2 linked regions of the Struthio camelus genome follow. The main gene of each other region encodes a partner of the protein of the gene in region 2 in a complex. Links are inferred from orthologs where the notes say so. Each region holds a gene or a part of one and is shown on either strand. Other genes may lie near its edges.

Evidence for each region.
Region 1: the proteins of CIC (region 2) and YWHAQ are in contact, whole or in part, in a crystal structure (PDB 6KZG), measured with the Homo sapiens proteins. The link is inferred for Struthio camelus from reciprocal best matches to the Homo sapiens genes CIC and YWHAQ. Residues at the interface, in NP_001291744.1 of Homo sapiens: Arg1207, Ser1208, Met1209, Ser1210, Glu1211, Thr1212, Gly1213, Thr1214; in NP_006817.1 of Homo sapiens: Lys49, Arg56, Lys120, Arg127, Tyr128, Gly169, Leu172, Asn173, Val176, Tyr179, Glu180, Leu216, Ile217, Leu220, Asp223, Asn224, Leu227, Trp228.

The regions. Positions count from the first base shown.
Region 1 is NC_090944.1:24,948,379-24,959,533, forward strand, and holds the start of YWHAQ (14-3-3 protein theta), read left to right. Parts: upstream 1-6,505; 5' UTR 6,506-6,820; intron 6,821-8,146; 5' UTR 8,147-8,236; coding exon 8,237-8,530; intron 8,531-11,155. UniProt on the Homo sapiens protein: Adapter protein implicated in the regulation of a large spectrum of both general and specialized signaling pathways. Binds to a large number of partners, usually by recognition of a phosphoserine or phosphothreonine motif.
Region 2 is NC_090980.1:390,524-401,603, reverse strand, and holds the start of CIC (protein capicua homolog), read right to left. Parts: upstream 4,762-11,080; 5' UTR 4,645-4,761; intron 4,213-4,644; exon of another isoform or gene 3,877-4,212; intron 3,813-3,876; exon of another isoform or gene 3,504-3,812; intron 2,472-3,503; 5' UTR 2,436-2,471; coding exon 89-2,435; intron 1-88. Other genes in the region: ETS domain-containing transcription factor ERF, read left to right, coding at 6,734-6,755, 10,244-10,478, 10,840-10,955, 11,030-11,080. UniProt on the Homo sapiens protein: Transcriptional repressor which plays a role in development of the central nervous system (CNS). In concert with ATXN1 and ATXN1L, involved in brain development.

The sequences.
Region 1 (11,155 bases), on a different chromosome or scaffold from region 2:
GGAATTTAATTTCAACTTCTCTGATTATTTAATTTGAAAGTCTCCAGTGTTCAAGTACATGGAAATCAAATCTGAAAACTCCTCCCAGTATCGCTGTTTCCCATAGCGAACATCTAGCACCCTCAGACTAAACTCCTTTTGTAGTCATCTCTGGATCAGTTTCACATTTGAATTTCTCCATTCAGAAATATCTCCCACTGTAGAAATGGTATTGCCTACCAACACAGCATCAGCAATGTGTGATCTTGCTATTTTTTGTGCTATAGATCATAAGCAAGCTCGTTACCTCAACAGAAAGCTCTACTCTCTTATTAGCACCAGAATGTGCAAAGAGGGAAATGGGAGATCACTCTCTCATTGAGGTTTCTCCAGAAGATAAAATTTCCCCTGGGTAATCTCATCCCTGTAGTGTAGGAGGCAACCCACTGCCTCGGTACCTGTTTCAGTAGTCTTGAGCTTTTTTTCTTGCTTGTAGCTCCATGGTTGCTCATCCTGCATATCTGAGGCTTTCTATAATGTTAATATATGTAGTTAAGTGATATAATTTGCATTAGCATGGGCCATCATTAAGCAGCTTGCTTATAATGACGACACATAAGAATGATGGTAAAAAACATATTTCAGTAAAGCAAAAATGCTGTATGTTAACCACTTCAATTAATTTAATTATTAAGATGCATGTATAGTGCCCTGTTCTTGGCTTGACAAAGTGTATTTCAGCCTGGTACCTATAAATATACGTCACCCCCTATTGCACTAAAGGATTATTCCATTCTATATGTAAGCCTTTATTAATTGTGCACCAGGTACATAATCACGACTAGCTAGGGATCTAGCATGCATTTTTCATAGTCCTCAAGTTTCTGATCTTTGTATAAGGAAGACAGTGCTAAGCCCTAACTAAACTTATAACCAAGAATCTTGTCATTACAAACTACAGAAGAATTCAATACATACACATCCTACTTCCAGCTTAAGGTGATCGAAGACCAAGAACTCTTCAATACTGAGTTTGAAAAAAATACCATATCTTGAAACAAACTTATTTTCGGAGACTTCCTATAAGCTTTGTTTTAGCCTATAAAGTTCACGTGAGAAAGGATAGTTACATCACATCTTCCCACAGCTAACTTTGGCTAACCACTTATCTACTTTCTTTATACCTCTGTCTTTTCTGTCTCCTCCCTTTACTTCCTTTATTCTTATGGTTTGCTTACACTGGGAATAATCTGCTAACTATAGCTCTGTTGCTATTGCTCCCTTAGCAGACACACTATTTCAGAATGAAAGCGGCTTTTTTTCTAGAATGGAGTTTCCACGTAGGGAATTTCCCTAGCTTACCTACAGTGGTATAATTATTAATAATTCCTTTACCAGTCAGTTTCCCTATATAGGCAAATACTTGACTTTCAAGTACCTATTGATGCTAACATTATATATGGCATAGAACAAAAAAAAATTCCCTACCATCTAGCATATATAGAGAACTTCATTGGATGCTTTCAGATCCAATGCCGGTCTATTTTTTTCCAACTCTATCAGCTGATCTAGTAAGAGATATTACCTCTCTGCACCAGCTTTGCCTGCTTACACCCCTGGGCCGTCACACCTACGCAAGACTAGGAAACCAAGCTAATCATAGTGGCCCGCAGCAACCTGCCTGTGGGCCTTGAGCCCTTCTTCATACCTTAAACATACTGTTAACTACACTGCCTGCCACCAATCACCCCCCCACCTTGTGTAATCTGGTTGACTGATGTCACATCTCCCCTTTGGATAACGTGCATTCATAAGGCAGCTGCAGGGGAAGAAGATGGAGATGAAAAGGAAGAAGTGCAGAGATCAAAGGCATAACAGAAAGAGCTTTCTCTGAATTTACTAAACAACCAACTGATGAAGTACCAGTGCACCTTTATACATTTCTGTCTTGCTCCCCAGTGCCCCCTTCCCTCCAATACTACTCACTCCCTTAAAGCCATGCTAAACGTGTAGGGTTTATGCTTTCTGCCCTATGCATTTCATTTTTATGTCTTGCACACCCATTCCTCCTACCTGCTTTCTCAGTTGTCACTGCCATTGCAAAATAGCAGAAGAGACAAAAATCTATACATATCTTTTGCAATATAGACATTTTATGAAACTAGCAATTTCATAGCACCACAACGAATTGTTCATGGATGCGGGACCTTAATGGTACAATCCCATAAACTGGGTAATTTTTCTTGGATAAAAGCAAGCCATATAATTAGAAAAGGGAACTAGTTACTTGTAATGAAAGAATAATCAAATCATCATTAAAAGGAAATTAGCTGCATTTATCTTAATTCTATGGGCCCTACTGTTACCTCCTGAGAGAAAAAGCTTCAGGAGGATAAAATTTACTTGACAGTCTCAGTGACTTTTGCCACTCCTGTTTGTTCATGCATGAGGGCGCCGTTTATTATGTTTTGGCAGAGCAAGTTGCATTTAACTGAGAAAAAGCCATTAAAAGGCTATTTGTTTCCTTTCCTTAAAAAAGGTACACCTCACCTTTCAGGGATTGCATTTGGCTCCATCTGGCTCCCCTGTCCTCCCACTTGCAGCTCACTATTGTTGGGACAGAGCCAGGGAAGAAAGTAAGAGAGGATCTGCGAAGGCTTTGTGTCTAGCTAGAACTGTGCACAGTCTTGCTGAGCAGGAATCCTCTGTGGCTCTCTCCCAGGCTTTGGAGTCACTTCACATGAGGTTCACAGGACCTGCTTAGGACTAGTACTAACATACCTCTACTTTTTATGCTAACAGCATGAAGGGAACTGTTCTGCGTTTAGCCAGCATCCTCCCTCACCCAGAGGCCAAAAGGAGGAAAGGCAATCTATGTGGGTGTGTGTGTGGGGGGGGGTAGAAACACAGATAAAGTAAGCTTGATTCTACTCCCCAGAGCTCTTTCCACTCTTCAGTACCACATGATACAGAAGGAAAGGATGCAGAGAAATACTGTTACGTGCAATAATGTGATACCTGTTTCACCGCAAGAGAGAAGCGGAATCTAACAGTAACTACTGTAGGTATGAGTGAAGAGAAAGTGTCAGTCAAAGGCTCAGATTTTACTCTCAAATGTGAGCAACATTTCCCATGTCCCTCCCATCTCATTTGAGTAATCTGTGGCAGAGACGCAGAGATGCTGAATATCAGCAGGTACACCTGAAGTCAGTGGGATGTGAACTTTCAGTATACATTGAATATTATAAAGTGTTTTCTACTCTGGAATTGAAGGTCTTCCATTTCTCCATATATGTATCTGGAAGTGCTGATATTTTCCATTTCCTGAATGTAAGATAGGATAATACCATCCATTTCATAACCCTGTTACAGAAATAAAGTCATTAATGTTTAGCAGGATGATAGCACTCCTGAAAAGCCTTAAAGGAAATTAATAATTTTAGATTCAATGAAATGTAATGCTGTGCAGGAAACTGTACATTAAAATATACATGCAATAAGCATTAAAAACCATATTAACTAGAAACACAGAATTGTAAAGCTTCTGCAGTTTAGTCTCCTGCTATCTCAGGTGACTACATCACAAAATCCTTCTTATAAGCTGTCCGCCTTCAGAGCAGGTGGGCTTCTTGCCCTCAATAAAAGAAAGCCGTTCCATAACTCCATTGCTCTGAGAAGCCAAGATCTTCTAATTCTAAGCCTAAATTCCTTAATTGACAGTTTATACACATTTGTCTTCAGTTTAAATCACAATTCTCCCACCTTGTTATTTATTGTACTCCTTTTAAGACAACGTAAAATCTCCCTCTTAGCTTTTATATTGCTAAACTAAAGGCAGGAAATTCTTCTAGCCTCCTCTCATAAAAGCTCTCCCAAGAATATCATCCCTACTGTGAGAGAGGGTTCCTCTGGGGAAACTAGCTTATGGCTAGGTCATTAAAGACCATATCACGATGCAGTCTTAAGGCATATAAATCCACAGGACCCAAATCTGAACAAACCTAGACAGCAGCCACAACACCTAATAGGTCTGAAGCCAGACACAGGCCATGCAGCTGACCTGCACATATAAAGCAGACTCGATACGTGCAGGTAAGTCTGGACTCATTGCACAGCTGATATCAAGTCCTCTGTGCCTATGACTTGCTATGCCCAGCATTTCCCAGTTTTTTTATGATGGTCCTGCATCTCTTAATGCAAGCTTACAACGGGTGGGAGAGAGGTGTGAACTAAATTGTATGGCAGACTGTAATTCTAATATTTTCCTAATTTTTGAGGAGGGACAGTGAAGGAAGTAGTCTTGATTAGATCAGCTTTGCCTTTCATTAGGTCAGATTTGCTCCAATAAAATCTACTTATCCATGCTTTGTAGGTGACATTGTTTTATTTCTGATGGAGACGTGACATTAATCAAGAAAGGTTCTGTGCTGCCACTGGTCAGTTTTGATTTAGTGATTTTTTATTACCACTTTCACTTCATATGTGAATGGGGGCGATCATTAGGCACTTAAGTGAAAATATCCTATTGACAAGGAAGAATAAAAAGGCAATGTAAAATTGTAGCAAGTTGCCAGGACAGTAATTTCTGGGATAAGTTATATATTTCCATAAGGCTTTATGACAGAATTTCATTAACTTTGAACAGAGTATTATCAATAGGTCCTTTGCTATAATAGAATAAATGCCCAAACTTACATGGCAAGGACAAATAATGGTTTCTTCACAGCATAGACCTAATTTCCACATATATAATCTCAGTCCTAGTCCAAACAAAGATCAAGAACTTTACAAGCTGAGACAATATCCTGAGGTTGATTCAGAGAATTCATCATCCCATCTGGATGCTGAAGTTGCTGAACATTACTATATTTGGCGATGCTGAAATCAAAGGTGAGAAATTTCGTCACTTCAACACAGAGACTTTGTAGTGCACAGATATTTGTGAACCCAAACTAGCCTAAGGCCTGACAGACAGTATCTGATCCACTCCTGGATTTTGTATGCTGAATGTTGTGGCAAACAACACAAACCCACTATCTCTTTACCACTTCCTCTGAGACTCAGGCAGTATGAGTCTAGAAAAAAATCATGCTAAAGCATGAAGAAGACCATCCAATTAGCGTTTCGAAAAGACAAGCAGCAATAGTTGCCTCACATCTATTAATTCATGGCTGGAAAGCATTTTATTATTCAGTACGTAACAGCACGAACCTAAAATTCTAACCTCTGTCCATTGTATCTCTGACCTCTTGAGAATTAACTCCAGATGAAAGGAAAAAAAGCAAATATATTGACTGTCGCTTGTGCCAAATGCTTGTCTTCCCCTGCCCACGGCCTCACGACCACAGGAATATTACATCTCTAAAATCAACTTTCCTCTCACCCAGACCCTAAGGGCAGAGCACAGTCATGATAGCTTCATATAAACGGCTTCTGAAATCTATCATTGAGAATACTGCATGTCAGGATAAGCGTCTCCAGGGCCAGAGCAACTAACTATTCCTGACAAAAAGAAATTCCTCCAGACTCTACCATTAGGTCGAGAAACAGGGAGGAATGTATGACAGACCTTATTGGTCCTTCCTCCTCTCTGGCCTCAGGAAAACACACCTCATCCTAGACCAGTGGCTCCGAAAGGGCATAACTTCCTTTGTCAGAGACACCCCACTCTCACCCTATCATTATCTTCATTCCTCTGCTGTGAGAGCCCAACACCGGGCTCCGTGTCCTGCAGTCAGGGAGAACTCAAGCCCTGACTGTCCATTTGCCCCGGGGAAAACCGCGCACCTAGCCACGCAAGTGCACGCGGCGAGCGCGGCCCCACCAACGCCGGGAGCCCAACAGCCTCCGTCAACGGCTTCTGCTGCTGCCGACCGCCCAAAAGAGCCGTCCCAAAGCCTCCTGCTCCTCCATCTCCCGAAGCCGGCGCCATCGCCGACCCCCGCGCCCACGTCTGCGCCCCAGCAGCACCGCAGTCTCCGGCACCTCTTCCCCAGGGCCGGCGGGCCCCTCGCCCGCCGCGGCCCTCACGCACCCTGTCAGCGGCGGCGCCGCCGGCCCGGCCCGGCCCCCGCGGGGGCCCAGCGCTGGCCGCAGCGACCTGGAGGCGGAAGAGCAGCCGCGGCCTTTTCGGGAGGCGGAGGGCGCGCGGCCGCGGGGGAAGGGGGGAGGCCCCCGCCTGGCGGCCCCCTGGCAGAGAGCCCCCGCCCCGCCGCGCCCCTCCCACCCGGCAGCGCCCGGACGCTTCCTCCCCTCCCCCCGCGGCGCGCGCCGCGGCCCCTCGCGCCACCACGGCCGCCCCCCTCCCCCCCGCCGCCGCCGCCGCCGCCGCCGCCGCCGCCGCCGCCGCCGCACGAGCCGCCCCGGCCGCGCCCCCGCGCTATCTCGTGCCGCGGCCGAGCCCCGGCTGCCAGGGCGAGGAGGTGGTGCGGCTGGGGGGAGGAGGGGGGCACGCCAGCGGGGGGGGGAAGGGGGGGGTTGTAGCAGCATCACTATGGCGACAGTGACGTCATCTCACCCTGGATCTAATTGGAGGAAACCCCGTGGCCCCAGCCGCAGCCCACGGGCCAACCGAGCTTGTGCCCTGCCTGCGCTCGCCCCCGCGGCGGCGCGCTGTGCTCCGATTGGCTGCCGGGGCGCGAAGGGGCGGGGCCTCGGGCGAAGAAGACGCTCTGATTGGCCGCGTGGGCGCGGGTTGAGCAGCGGGTAGGCTTGCCTGTGCCAACGCCCTTTAGCGCTGGCTCTTGCCTGAGACGGGAGCGGCTCTTTCTCTCCGCCACAGCCCCGAGCGAGGCAGCCGATCCGGTGGCGCCAGCCGGCCCGGCCTAGCGCGCGGACTCAGGTGAGCGGGGCGCCGCGCGCCCGCCGGCGGGAGGGGGCTCCGCGCCACCGCCGCCGCGTCCTCCATTTTGTGAGCGCGGCGTGGAGTCCTCGGCGGCCCCGGGGAGCGGGAGGTGCCGCCAGCCAGCGCCGCCATTTCGCACCCGGCGGGGCCGCCGGCTTCCTCTTTCCGCCCCGCCGCCGCGGGGCCAGCCTCCGGCCGCCTTCGCCTCTCGCCCCGCCACCTCCTCGCCACCCCCCTAACCCCCCCCCCGCTGTCCCTGGGGACGCGGCCGGCCGCGGCGTGGAGCCGCCGGGCCCCCGCCCTCGCCGGGGCCGAGACCCCACCCACTGCCGTGCCACAGCGCTCCCCGCCCGCCCGCCCGGGAATGCGGAGCCGCCGCCGCGCCCCCCGCGGCGCTGGGGGCCGCCGTCCCGGGGCCGGAGTCGCCGCCGCTCCCGCCGCGGCCGGGTGGAGGCGGGGAGGCCCCGGACCCTGCGGCGCTCCCCCGCCCTGTCGCCGCCCGCCGCGCCCCGCCGCCAGGAGGCGAAGCTGCCCGGGGCCGGCCGCCCCGCCGCGCCCGGGCCTCTCCCGGCTCCCTCGGCCTCGCCCGCCCCGCGGGTCTCGTCGAGCGGAGCGGAGCGCGGGAGCCCGAGGAGAGACGGGTCTCCTCGCCGCGCTTCCCGTCCTGCACCTGGCCTGGCGCCCCGGGCCTCCCTCGCTGTTCGCCGGTTTATTTTTAAACCGTTCCTTGGGTTCCTAGGGGCAAACTTATCGCTGGGGTTTTTTTTTTGTTTGTTTGTTTGTTTCTGGGGAGGAGGATTTCTTTTTTTCCTTGCTGGTTCCAATCTCTTGTAATGGCTTTGGCATACCCCCTCCTTTTTCAGTGCTCACCTGCAGGGCAGATGGTGTACAGGGGATGGACTTTGGGCAGGGCTTACTGGTGGCTAGATATCTTTCTCCAGGTTCTTGCTAAGCAGTGTGTTAATTTGTTCACTTGAGGTAAGGAAGGGAAGCAGAGTGAGGACAAAAAGGCAGCTCTGAAAAGATAGCTGTCTCCAGCACTTGGTCTTTAGGCTGCTTCCCTCTGGGTAGAGCTGAGTATGCCTTCCCCAGTTCAGTTTCTAGGTCGCCATTTCCCTAGGGATGGGCCCTTGAGACTGGTGCCTCTCCCCCTAGCTCTGCATGGAGGAGCAGGATGCTGCCAGTCCTTCAATCCAGGAAACGCTCCTGGAGATGAGGAAGAGGATACAAGACTCGCTACAGGCCTAGTTATGAGGAGCAGCATAAGATCATGTTCTGTATCACTTCAACCCAGAGTCATGGTTACTGTCTTCTTTCTGGCAGGTTTTCAGGGCGTTCTCTTCTTGACAGTGTGACATCCCCAGCTTCTCCTGCTTTTGCTACTCTACTGCTCTCACCCCTCTGCCAGCCACCATGGATAAGACCGAGTTGATCCAGAAAGCCAAGCTGGCTGAGCAGGCTGAGCGCTATGATGATATGGCCACCTGCATGAAGGCAGTAACCGAGCAAGGTGCTGAGCTTTCCAACGAGGAGCGCAACCTGCTCTCTGTGGCCTACAAGAACGTAGTGGGTGGGCGGCGCTCTGCCTGGAGGGTCATCTCTAGCATTGAGCAGAAGACAGACACCAGTGACAAGAAGATGCAGCTTATCAAGGACTATCGGGAGAAGGTGGAATCTGAGCTCAGGTCCATCTGCACCACTGTGCTGGTGAGTGGAGTTTCTTTTGCCCTCTCTTTTCTTCTCTTTGAGAGAGAGAAACAGTATTCATGTATGCTGCTGTCCTGAGGAGTAAGACTGTGAACTTGGCTGAGGAACGTCATGCACAATATCATGCTGTGGTAGGGGAAGTCAGTGCAGTAACTTCCGCAACTGTTGTGAGGGTTAGCGTAAGGAGGAAAATCGTCTGCGCTGCTGAGGAGCATGTCTGTGCAAAGGTATTTGAGACCCACAGACAGTGTTACTCCATGTAATTGCAGAGTCGCAGAGGATTTGGTCTCATGTCTGTTTGCACTGCGGTTAGTAAGCTTATCTGTTCATAAGATCAGCGGAAAACAAAATGATACATGAATTTTTTTCTTCAGATGAGACCTAGTACATTGTTAAAAGCATTTAAAGTAACTGGGTGTGTGTTTCTTTCACTTAGTGTTTCTTTGCAAGAAACAAATTCTCCAGAGGTCTTTAAGACATCTTGAAAACTTTCCTTTTACGTAAAAGTGTGAGTTTATAAAGTAAAACATCATCTTCAGTGAGCGTAGAAATAAAGATCTGCAGAAATTGGCTTTGTCATGTTCAAATTGACTTTTCAGTGGATCTTTACAACGAAGTTGCGGTAGTTACAGAATAAGGTAAGACCATGGTTTGAAGACTGACATAATACACCTCAGCAGGTGAAGAAGCCCAGTAATACAGAATTTACTCTGCTATAAGGAGCAGAATTCCAGGTGCTATTAACAGTGAAAGTACACTGTGCTGTGGCAGGGGCTGAACGTGCATCACCTTCTTCTACGTGATCAGGGAGTTCTGGCTGCAGGCAGTTGGATAGGTGTAATGCGCTAAGAATTGTGTGGCAAGTAATCTTTAGTAGCTTATTACACCTCAGTTAAAAATGTATTTTTGGTGTCTGGTATTGCAAACACAAGAAGAAGCAAGTCTACAAGGAAATAAACATTTACTGAGGTAAATGAATCCTGAGTTGGGTTAGGATACCCAAATCTGAAGCTGGTTTGTTTGGAAGTAACTGAAACTGCTTCTTGATGCTATGTCGCATACAGGGGAGCTGTACTTCTTGATTGTGCTGAAAATTCTCATATGTTTCTGTTTGGAATTGTTTTCTAAAGAAGTCAAAATGAGTTATCTTTGCTTCAGAGTCATTTGGAAATGTTATTAGCCTAATGAATCAGTTGAATTGATTTCTCAGTTAAGAGTCCATGTCTTTCAAAGAAGCTGTTTCTACAGTTGCAGATATAGGTAAAAATTTCAAAAATTTCAGCTTTGAGAAAGTGATGTTACTTGCGTAGGGCACTGATTCTTCTTTCCTGTGATGAGACTCGCTATAATTAGTGCTGATATTTATGCTCTTCATCATTCCTCTCAACCTCCTTTGTGCGGTGTTCCGGCTTGGGAACTAGTGTCTTGATCTGCACATAAAGCTTATTATTTAGACTTCTTAAGATCTCTTTCCTTATACCAAATGTAGCTCGTAAGAGGAGATTGTGGACAACATCTTGTACTGGTTGCTGCGCCATCTTAACAAGGAGCTCATTCCTTCTGTAAGGAGACTAATTGTCTTTGAAATGGAATGGTAAAGATAGCAAGGCGTTTCATGCAATGTCCATATTGAAATTTTCTGTTGCATCAAATGGTGGACAGCAGGTAGTTTAGTAGCTGCGCTAACACAAACCTTTTAACATGGGGGGGAAAAAAGCTTTTTCTTGTACTGGCTGAGCTCTTTCCTGCATTCCAGTCTTTCTGCTCTGTTCTCAGTTGTAGCCTGGTTGGCACCTTTCTGGTTTACTTCTCCCCTGGAAGGCCGCAGGAAGTAGCGAAGACAGAAACCTACAAACAGGCATGCTTTTCTTGTTCTACCCTCCTGGCCAAGATATGCCTTCCTTTGGGAGAAGGAGATGTCACCGTTTGCCGCTCACCTTCATATTTTTACTTGTCCTTTGAATGCCATGTGCAGTTAGGTTTCTCTTCCTTTCCCCCTTCGTCTACCGCTCCTGTGATCCATGAGTCAGCAACAGAGAGGTTGAAACTCGCAATGGGCAGGCACTACAAAGGATCAATTTCCTAAAGCTCAGTCAAGGTGCTTTTGAGTCCTTCCTCTTGGAGTTATGACTTCATGTTTAGTAATACTATAGAAACTGCTTTTAGTTAGCTTTTTTTGAGTTGAATCTCAAAGATGCTTTTTTAATTCTAAGAAGGCAGCTAAACTGAAACAACTGCTGGCAAATAGCGTGGAAAGGTTGCTTGTCAGCTGGAGTATTTGGATTTAGCAAGGGTGGATGTGCTGGGTGGAGTGTGACTGCTGTGTTAGTCATACTACTAACAGTTTTTTCGAAAGGTTTTTTCATCACTGGTGCAACTCAGCTTTTTTAAAGAGAAATATATCTGCTCTTCTAGAAACCTTTATTTAAAATACTTTCATGAGCATTACAAAATACTACTAATGGTTAATTGAATCTGCAGTCCTCCCTCCCCCCCCCCTCCCCCCCATAAAGGATGCCCCAAGCCAATTAGGTAAGCTATTATTTTTAGGCCATGGTTTGAACTTAGATTTCATCACCGCTAAAATACAAGCATTGAAAATTATGTTGATGGCCTGCTTTAATT
Region 2 (11,080 bases):
TGCCCCCCCCTCGTTCCCACCCCCCCCCCAGTTCTCGCGACCCTCGTTCCCACCCCCCTGCTCCCGCGCCCCACTGCTGGCCTCCTACCCGTGCCGGGCCGCCCCATGATGATCTCCTTGCGGGGGGCGGGGGGGCCGCCGTAGTCCCCGGGCACGATGACGGGCAGCAGGGCGGCAGGCGACGGGTGGAAGGCCACCGGCTGCAAGGGCGACGAGAGCCCGAAGGCGGCAGCGGCAGGCCCAGCCCCGGCCCCGGCCCCGCTGGGGGGCAACGGCCCCGGCTGCCCCACGGCGGCGGCGGCGGCATGCGCCCGCCCCACGTTGATGGGCACGGGCGCTTGGAGCTGCCCCTTGGCGGCGGGGCGGGCGTCGCGGGCGGCTTTGCCGAGGAGGCGCGGGCCGTCGGGCGGCTTGGCGGGCGGCAGCGGCACGTCGGGGTTGCGCACGATGACGGGCGAGTCGCGCTGCACCGCCGGCACCCGCCGCACCGCCGGCCCCGGCTCCGCCGTCAGCCCGGCCGGCGGCGACAGCAGCAGCAGCGGCGAGGGCGGCTGGCGCGGGCGGGCGCCGAAGGGCGACGGGGGCCCCGCGCCGCCGCCGCCCCCCAGGTCCGCCTCGGCTTTGTGGAAGTCGAGGGCCGGCGGCGGCGGCGGCTCGGCCTTGCGCTTGCCGGGGCTGACGGGCACGGTGAAGGCGAGGCTGGTCTGGAAAGTGGGCGCGACGCCCGAGGCGTGCCGGCCGCGGGGCGGCCCGTGGGACAGCGCCTCGGGGCTCAGCCCCTCGCCGGCCTTGGGGGCGCCAGCGCTGACGTGGCGGCTGCGGGCGGCCGCCCGCTGCAGCACCGGCGAGGCGCTGACGGGGCTGAAGTTGGCCGGGCGGAAGCCGAAGAGGGGCGAGGGCGAGGGCGACGGGGCGGGCGAGAAGGGCGACTGGTTGGAGACGGGCGAGAAGGACGGCGTGCCCGAGCGCGAGCTGCCCAGCGACACCAGCATGACGGCGGCCTCGCACTCGTCGAACTCGAAGCGGGACAAGTCGGCTGGCGGCGGCGCCAAGCGGGGCCGCGAGTCGCCGCCGCGGGAACCGCCGCCGCCGCTGGCCTCGCTGTCGCGTGACGTCTCGTCCCAGTCGAACTCGGCGCTGCCGTCGCGCGGCCCGCCGGGCCGGCCCTCGGCCAGCCCCTCCATCTCCTTGGTGCGCATGGAGAGGTGCCGGGAGCAGTAGCCGCGCCGCTGCGACTCCTTCATGCAGCCGTCGCGCGAGCACAGCCGCCGCCACTGCTTGCCGTTGAACTTCTTGCGGATGCCGTTGGGCGTGCACACCACGTCGCCCTTCTTGTACTTCTGCTGTGCCGCCGTCAGCGGCGTCCGGCACCGCGAGGCGACGCCGCCCTTCTCGGACGGCGCCCGGCTGCCACCTGCCTCTGGGCTGAGCCGCGGCGGCGCCGGCGACTTGGGGGGCGACAGGAGCCGGGCGGCCGGCGGCGGCACCGGCGGCGGCGGCGGGTCGCTGTCCGCCCGCACGGCGGCGCTGATCTTGCACACCTCGGCGTCCTCTGGCTGCTTCGGCTCCGGCGCCTCGTCCTCATCCGGCGGCTCGGCCGGCGGCTCCCGGCTCCAGGGCGGGCGGAGGAGGCGGAGGTCGGAGCGCGGCACCCACGCCGTGTCGCGGTGCGCAGCGGCGCCGGCAAAGCGGATGCGGTAGCAGGTGGCTTTGGCGCCGATCTCCACCACGGTGCCTTCGCGGTAGCCGCCGTCCTCCTCCTCCTCCTCCTGCAGGCGGGCGCAGACGGCCGTGCCCAGCGCCAGGGTGCCTGGCGGCGGCGCGGCGTCCAGCACCACGTCCGGGGCCGCCGCCGCGTAGTACGTCAGGCTGCGCTCGCCGGCGAACTGCACGGCCAGCTCCCGCCCGCGCTCCCGCACCTGCTTCACCACCGCTGGCTGGAAGAGGCCGCCGGGGCGGCGCGCCAGCACCCGCTGCGCCCGCAGGCGCCGCAGCGCCGCCCGGCCAGGGCCGCCCGCCTCGTCGGCTGAGTGCTCGCTGGCCGTGTCGGTGCCGGAGGAGGACGGGCCGGGCGCCCCTTCGGCCTCCTCGTCCTCCTCCTCCTCGCCGCTCCACTCCTCGCCCGCTGGTGGCTTCTTGCGTGGTGCCCGGGCCTTGAAGGTGGCCGTCTTGCGGCTGCCCGGCGGCTCCTCGCCGCTGGCGTCCCGCGGCCCTGGATCCGTCTGCACCGCTGCTGCCGCTGCTTCCTCGCCGCCGCCGTCTTCCTCGCCCTCCAGCTTTGGCCCGCTGGCGGCACCCTCGGGTGCACGGCGCTTGGGCACCTTGGGGCGGCCGGTGGGCGGCAGTCGCCCGCTGCTCCCGCACAAGGACGAGGAGGAAGAGGAGGAGGAAGAGGAAGAGGAGGAGGAGCTGCCGGCCTTCCTCACCGGTTTCATCTTCCTCTTGCCAGGCCGGGCTTCAGCCACGGGGAGCTGTGGGGAGAGAGTTAAAGTGGGGGGTCAGGGGGGGTCATCAAAATGCCTGGGCTGGGCCTGTGGCCTCTACGTGGCATAGGGGCACACCGGGGTGGGGGGGGGGAGAATATGGGGGGGTGGCCCCTAGTGGGGGGCTAGTATCTTGGGAGGGGAATCAGGCATTTGGGGGGGGGGAATTGCCCCTGGAGGGGGGTGATCATCATCAGGGGGGGAAATTGGCCCTTAGGGGCAGCTTGGGGGGGGGACTAGCCCCTTGGGGGGGGAATTGCCCCCTGGGGGGGGAATGGTATCATGGGGGGGCACCTTGGGGGAGAGAACAGCCCCTTGAGGGGGGACGAACCCCTTTGGGGGGGTCCTGGTACCTTTAGGAGGGGACCATCACCCAGGAGTGGCTCCTGGGTGTGGGGGGGGACCAATCCCTTGGGGGGAGCAGCCCCTTGGAGGCACCTTGGGGGGGGGCAGCAGCCCCTGGGGGGGTCACCTGGTCCCTCGGGGGGGACATCGACCCCTTGGGGGGCACTGGTTCCTGGCAGGGGGGACACTGGCCCCTGCTCGCAGCTCCCCAGGCCCGGCCCAGCAAGGTCTCTCCCCCCGGGCCCAGAGCCCCGTCACAGGGCCATGTCTGCCCTCTCCGTGACCCCCCCACAACCACCCCCCCGGTCCCCCTCAGGGAAGACTGGGTGGATCCTGCCCCCCCAGCCAGTGGGGTGGTCCCTCCTGCCCCCCTGCCCGGTAACCCCGGGGGGCCCCCAACCCCCCCATTCCCGGAGAGGGGTGGTATGTCCCAGCAACCCCCTCCCGGGGGGGTACTTTTGGCCATTCCCCCCCAAAAAAAAATTCGGGGGGGGTCGGTCCCTAATAGTGACACCCACTATTTGGAGGTTTTGGGACACTTCCCGTTTTGGGGGTGTCGGTGCCCCCCTACCGCTCCCCCTTGCAGTTTTTGAGGGGGCGGAGTTGGTACGTCCCAACCTTCCCCCTCCCCCCAGTTTCGGGGGTGTTGGTACCTCCCAGTGCCCCCCCCATTACCTGTTCGCCCCCCCCGCGCCGTGCGAGGGGGGAGCCTGGCGCAGCCCGCTCCCCCCCGCTCTGCGGAGAGGTTGGTACAGCCCGGCCCCCCCTGTCCCCCGCGGGATGGTCCAGCCCGAGCCCCTCTCGGGCCCCTCCGAGCCCCTTTTACTCCAACCGACAAAATGGTGAATGAATCTGGACCAGCTGGCGGCGCCGGCCAATCGACGGCCACAACCGCCCGACTGGCGGCGGGCGCGGCCAACCGGCGCGCAGCACGGCCCGGTCTCGGCCCGCCCCCTCAGACTGTCACTCCTGCCGGCCAACCGCCGCCTCGCGGGGGCGGGACAGCTGCGCGGCGCGGCCCGCCCCTCCGCCCTCGAGCGGCACTTACAGTAGCCAATGAGAAGGCGCGGCTGGGGGCCGCGGGGAGGTGCTGCGTATACAGTAGCCAATGGAGGCCCCGTGGGGGCGGGGCGAGGCTAGGCCCAGACTTGTTTACCTGGCGCTGCGCGAGGAGGAAGCGCGGGGCCGCGCGGCGGCTGCCGGGACGGGTAGTTCCTCGCGGGAGCGGCGCCGCCTAAGCCGGTGGGCGAGAACTACAGCTCCCAGCATGCCCCAGCGAGGATGCGGGAAGGGGCGCGCAAGGGCGCCTGGGAGAGGTGGTCCTCCGCGGCCGCCTGGCAGGCCGGGGAGGTGGCCGCGGCTCCCGGCATGCCCCGCGCGAAGCCTGCCGGGAGTTGTAGTTCGCACCTCTCCCTGCCGGCAGCGCGGCGCGGGGGCTGACGGGAGCGGGGCTTCGCAAGAGGTGGCGATAGCGGCCCCCCCTGCCTTCAGGTGTCCCGGGCAGGGAAGCGACTACGGCTCCCGTCAGGCCCCGCGGCACCGCGGCCCGCTGGGAGTTGTAGTCCCGCGCGGGCACCGCCCCCGGCTTGGGCGCGCGGGAAGGACTACAGGTCCCGGCATGCCACGCGGAGGCCCCTCCCCTTCCTCCTCCCCCTCCCGCCCCTCAGGGCCGGGGAGTCCAACTCCTCGGGGAGGGGGGAGGGGACAGCAGCCCCCTCCCCGCGCCCCCCCGCTCCCCTCCCGCCCGCCCCCGCCCCTCCCGGGGGCGCTCCATTTGCATGTCATTTGCATCTCATTAGCATATGCATGAGCTCACCCGGCGGCCTCTCCCGGTCCCCGTCTCGCCCCGTCCGGGCCCCTCGCGCTTCCCCTCAGCAACAGCGGAGCCGCCGCCGACAGACGCCCGGCCAATCAGAGGCCGGACCGGGCACCCCCCCACACTCCCCACGTGGGGCCCGGGGGCGGGGCCCTGGCCAGCCAATCTGCCCCCGGGGCGGCCGAGGGATGAGGTCACCGCTCGGCGCTCCCATTGGGTGGCGGCAGTGCCAGCGCGGGCCAATCGCCGCCCGCCTCCGGCAGGACGGGGAACGAGGAGAGCGGGAGGGGGGAGGAGCGCACGCGGGGCGTGTGTGACACGCTGGAGCCTGCCGGAGCCCCGCCCCCGCCCCCGCCCCCGCCCCGCCCCCGCGCGCCCCGCCCCGCCCCGCGCACGCACGCGCACTGGCACGCCCCGAGCGGCGCGCGCTGCCGCGGCGTGGGGCGGGCGCGCATGGGGCGAGCTCACGTGCCGTGCAGCGGCGCGGGGCGGTCGCGTGCACCGTGCAACGGCGTGGGCTGCGCCCGCGTGGGGCGGGCCCACTGGGGCGTGCATGTGCCGTGCAACAGCATAGGGGGGAAAGGGTGCACGCGCGGCCTGTGCGCTCGTGCCGCGCACTGCCGAGGGGTTTGCGTACGGGCGCGTGCACGCGGCACGCGCAGGCGTGGGGTGGGAACGCGCGCCGTGCAACGGCGTGGGGGGAGGTCCCGGGCTGCGCTGCCCCTTTAAGAGCGGCTTTTGCCCCCCCCCACCCTGTTATCAGCCGGGCTCTGATAAGGTTTTAATTGGGCCCGGCGGGGCTTTGCACGGCCCTCGTGTGAGGGGGCCCAGTGCCCCTCGTGCCTCAGTTTCCCCTGGCCGGGGTAAATGGGCAGGATTTGGGGTGGGGGGGAGGGGTAGCCGCTTAATGCATCTCCTGCACCGCAAACTTCCAGCCGATAATTATAGTCGGGGAAGCTGCATTATTTATACGGCGCCTATTTATAACCCGGGGCCCGGCCCTGGCGGCACCAGCCCCGGCCCGCGGCCCCCAGCCGGCGCCCGCTGCCGCCTCCGGCCTCCCGGCTCAGCCCTGGCCCCGCGCATGCGAGGCCCCGTGCAAGGTCCTGCAAAGAGATGTATGCGAGAGCTGGTGCAGGGGTGCGTGTGACAGCCTGTGCGATGGCACCCATAAGGCAGCGTGCGAGTGCACGTGTGAGGGCAGTGCAAGGCCCCATGCTGGGATGCGTGCGAGGCCCTGTGTAAGGCTCCATGCAAGGCTCTGTGTGAGAGTGCGTGCGAGGCCCCGTGCAATAGCACATGTGAGGGCACGCAGAAAGCCTTATGCAAGGCCCTGGACAAGGGCACGTGCAAGACCTGGTGCAGGGGTGCGTGCAAGGCCCTGTGCAAGGGTGTGTGCACGGGTGTGCGCAAGGCCTGGTGCTCGGGCACGTGCAAGGGCCGGGGGTGCAAGCGGCCCAGCAAGGTGCACGGGCGCTGGGGAGTTGCATCAGCCGCCAGCACAAACGAGGCAAAACAACCTGGGAGGTTAATTACCCCCCACGGGGGCCGCTCATGCCAGGGCCTCGCGTGCTGGGGCCTTTGCCTCCTGGCCTGGCCCTGCGGCTGCGTGTGGAACACGCCGGGCCTGCATGTCATGAGCTTTGTCGGGTCTCAGCCCAGATCCCAGAAGGGGTCTTCATGGGGACCCCCTTTCCCCTCCTGCCCCAGATGTCACTGTCCCAATCACCCCTCCCCATCTGCCCCCTCCTGCCTCATGGACCCCGTTGTCCCCAATTGCCCCCTCCTGCCCCATGTGCCTCCCTCCTACACCATTGCCCCTTTCTGCCCCATCGCCCCTCCCCGCGCGGCCCCTTTAAGCGCCCCCTCCTTCCCCTCCCCCCGTGGGCGTGGCCGGGCGGGGAGGCGGTGGCGGGAGGGGGAGGGGGGCGGGCTTAGTGTCCATGGCGACGCGGCGGTGACGTGAGCAGGGGGCGTGGGCGTCCCGGGCTGGCGGGGAGGGCGGGGGGCGGCGGCGGCGGGGGGGGGCGGCGGGGGGGCCGAGCCCGACACCGACCCGGCGGCGGCGGCGGCTGCAGCGCGCGGAGCCATGAAGACGCCGGCGGACGCAGGTGGGGACTGCGCCCCCCCCCCGGGGCGGGGGGGGACTTACCCGGGGGGAGGGGAAGTTTTTATATCTGTAATTTTATTTCGCCGCGGGGGGGGGGGGAAGAAGAGCGGCGGCGCCGGTTGACGGGGGCGAAAGTTGCCCCCCCGCCGCCGCCGCACAAACTTTGGGCCCCCCCCGCCCCACGTGGGCGGCCGCCCCCGCGCCCGGATCTACTACTGTTTTTAAAGGGGGGGGCCGCTGGGGGGGGGGAGGAACCCCCGGCGGGGGGGCGGGGGGCTCCGGCGGAGTTGGCGGCGCCGGGACCTGTTGCTTCGCGCGAAGCGGCGGCGCCGGCCGGGCCCCCCCATAACCAGGCGCCTGCGGGGGGGGGTATTTGTTCCCCCGGGGGGGTCATTTATTTGCCCAGGCGGGTGTTTATCCCCGCGGGGGAGGTTTTATCCCCGCGGGGGGGGGGCATTTATTCGCGGGGGGAATCTCCGCGGGGGGGTGTTTATCCCCACCGGGGGGGTGTTTTCCCGCGGGGGGTGTTTTTCCCGGGGGGGAGGGGCGCGGGGGGGGCTGTGCCACGTTGTGTGTGCGCGCGGGGGGGAGGGGCGCCGCGGGGAGGGGGCGGGGGGGTCGTGTCCCCCCTCCCCCCGTATCCCCCCTCCCCCCCCGCGCCAAGTTGCCGTCGGCGCCTTTTGGGAACTTTTTTTTTGTTCCCGACAAACAACGAGGGTTTAAGGTGGCGCCGGCTGGGGGCGGGGAGGGGGGGGTCGTCGTGACCCCCCCCAACACCGCTGGGGGGGCGGGCTAGCGGTCACGGCGCCGTGGGGGGGCGCCCCCCCCCCGCGCGGTGCCACCTGAAACGTGTTAGGGGGAGGCGAAGGTTGGGGTCGGACTTTACCCCCCCCGGCCCACCTTAAGGGGGGGGGCGGGCGCTGCGGTGCCCCCCCCCCCGCCCCGATTGTCTGCAGGAATCCGGCCGGGCTGGAGCGCGTCTCGCTCCTGTTCAAACTTGTCCCCTCCCCCGCCCCGTACCCCTGCCGCCGCCGGCCCCGCCCCCCGCCCGCGGCAGGCCCCGCCCCGGCCCCGCCCCCTCCCCCGCGGAACTCGCCGAAACTTTGCGCCCCGCGGGGGGGGGGGAAGGGCGGGGCGTGACCCCCCCCGCAGAGTTGGGGGTCCCGGCGCCCCCCAAGTGTGGGGGCCGGGGTCCCTGTGCTCCCCAGGTGTGAGGTTTGGGGGGGGCCGGGGATCCTCTGCCCCCCGCGTGGGGGACCCCCAATAAGGGGGGGGTGGGTGGGTCCCACGTGCGGGACGGGATTGGGGGGGGGGACATGTTCCCCCTATCTGGGGGGTCAGACTTGGGGGTCTGTGTGTCCCCTCCCGAGGGGCTCATCGTCATGACCTCCCTCCATGTGTGGGGCCGGGGGGGGGGTGATGCAATGCAGGGGGGGAGCGACGACACGGGACACGAGTCCGGGGGGCCCAGGCGTGCTCGGGGGGGGCGGGGAGGAAACTTGGAGCGGGACGGCCGGCGGACAGGGCGTGCTTTGTGTGCGCGGGCGTGTGCGCAGGCGTGTGCGGGGGGGGCCGGTGCCCACGCGTGCTCCAGGCGCTGGGGCGGGGGCGCAACGCACACGCGTGTGTGGGGGGTGGGGGCGCACACACCAGCTCGCACGCATGTGTGGGGGGAAGGTCACTCTCGCACACGCGTGTGTGTGGGGGAGGACATGCTTGCACACGTGTGTGCGGGGGGCCCTCACCTGTGTCGTGCCCCCCTCCAAGGGCTGTGCAGAGCTCGGGGCCGCGAGAACCCCCGGACACCTGGGCCCCCGGGGCCGTGTTGTGCTGGGGGGTGTCCCGGACACCTGGGCTGTGGTGGGCTGGGGGGCGTCCCGGATGCCTGGGCCCCATGGCCCCCCCGCAGGACTTGGGGGGGGCGGCCAGGAACAGTGGTCCATTGATGGGGCCGCGGCCGCCGCTGATGTCACGTCCCAGCCCCCCCCTTCCCCCCTCCCAGCTAATTAGCGAGAACAGGCCCCGAGTGTGCTGACGAGGGGGAGGGGTGGCCAGAGGGGGCTATGGGGTGCCACTAGCCCATGGGGTGAGGCTGGGCGTGGGGGGGGGTATGGGGCTATGGGGCACCAATAGCCCAGGGTTGTTGTTTATTGGGCCACTTATGGGGTGCCCCATACCCGGGGGGGCTGGTTATGGGGCAAAGGTGCTGTTCATGGGGGCAGTTATGGGGTGCCCCATAAGCCAGGGTTGCTGCTTATGGAGGGGGCAGTTATGGGGCACCCCATAGCCTGGAGGTGCCAGTTATGGGGTGCCCCATAGCCTGGGGGGACCAGTTATGGGGCACTCCATACCCTGAGGGGGGCCAATTATGGGGGCTGGTTATGGGGTGAGGGTGCTGCTCATGGGGGCAGTTATGGGGTGCCCCCTACCCTGGGGGGGGCTGCCTATGGGGCAGCTGTGGGTGGCGGCGGGGGGGCTGCTGCTGCTGCTCCTCCTCCTCCTCCCTGGCAGGTTATTTTTAGCGTCTGCCCCGTTGCCTGGAGACGTGATTTTGGGGGGAAAACGAGCTGTTTTGGCACAGGATGCCCTGCTTTGGCGGGCGGGGGTGTCACTCGGGTCCCCCCCCCTTGGCGCCGTCCCCCCCTGGCCGGGAGGCAGCTGAGCTCATCGTGGCGGCGGCAGCTCCATTAGGGCCCTGCATTATTGATGCGCTCGGGGACGCCTGGGCCCCGGGAGCCGGGAAACGGCCCCCTCCCCCCCCATCTCCCATCCCGCAACCCGGCGCCTTTTCCCGGGAATCCGGCCCGGCCGCGGACTCATAAAGGGGCCCTTGTGCATGACGCTGAGCTCAGCCCCGGCCCGGGGGCCGCCTGGCACGGCCCCCCCCGCCCCACAGCGGCTATGGGGTGGGTGGGGGGGCCCCCCCCATCCCGGCTGGCAGCAGCCGGCGGCCTTGGCCGGCAGCCCGGGAGCCTGGCGGTGCCGGGAGAGGCCGGCGGCGGCAGCCGGTTTCCTGTCCCCCCCCCACCCCGGGTCCCTCCCCGCCAGGTCCCCGGCGGGGTGACGCGCACCTTGCGGATGGGGTGGGGGGGTTAACCCCTTCAGCCCCGCTGAGGGCCCAGGCATCCGAGCCGCCCTGCCTCATGGCGTAGAGGGCCCAGGCGTCCAGCTGCCCCTCTACCCCACGGTGCAGGGAACCCAAGTGTCTGGGCGGCCTCCCTGGTTGTCCCAGAGGACCCAGGCGTTCGGGCTGCCCCTTGCACAGGGGGACCCAGGCGTCCGGGCAGCTTCCCTGGCCTTTTCTGGAGGACCCAGGGGTCCAGGCTGCCCATGGCCCGTCCCAAATCTGCACAGGGGACCACAGCATCCAGGCTGCCCCTTGCGCAGGGGATCCAGGCGTCTGGCCACCTTTCTGCCCCGTGGCATGGGGGACCCGGGCGTCTGGGTTGCCTGGCCCTGTGCCGGCTGAGCCCTCTCCGCCCGCCGCAGGCTTCGCCTTCCCGGACTGGGCGTACAAGCCGGAGTCGAGCCCGGGCTCGCGGCAGATCCAGCTGTGGCACTTCATCCTGGAGCTGCTGCGCAAGGAGGAATACCACGACGTCATCGCCTGGCAGGGCGACTACGGCGAGTTCGTCATCAAGGACCCTGACGAGGTGGCCCGGCTCTGGGGCGTCCGCAAGTGCAAGCCCCAGATGAACTACGACAAGCTGAGCCGGGCGCTGAGGTGAGCAGCGAGGGCCCAGGCGTCCGGGTGCCATCCCGGCACCAGCTACTTGTATTCCCTTTCCTGCCAGAGAGCGGAGAAACTCAGGTGTCCAGGCACCCCACACCGCCTGCTCTCACCCCCAGGTGTCCTGTGTCCTGAGAGGGTGGACCCAGGCGTCCAGGTGCCCCATGAACAGGAGGGGACCCAGGGGTCTGGTCACCCCACTCTCCCTATAGAGCTCCCAAACTAGCCGCAGTGCGAAGGGAGCCCAGGCATCCAGGCACCCCCATGACTCACCAGTTGTGTGACAGGTGGGCCCAGGTGTCTGGGCCGAGGGGCTGCACTCGGTGCGTCCGACTGACGCTCTCCTGCCCCGCAGGTACTATTACAACAAGCGGATCCTGCACAAGACCAAGGGTAAACGCTTCACCTACAAATTCAACTTCAACAAGCTGGTGCTGGTCAACTACCCCTTCATCGACGTGGGCCTGGCAGGTGAGCAGGGGCCATGGCGGGGAGGGGGTGAGGGGGCTGCGATGGCCACCCTGACACCACTCCCCCACCTGCAGGTGGCCCCGTGCCCCAGAGCGCCCCACCGGCCCCCTCGGGCGGCTCGCACT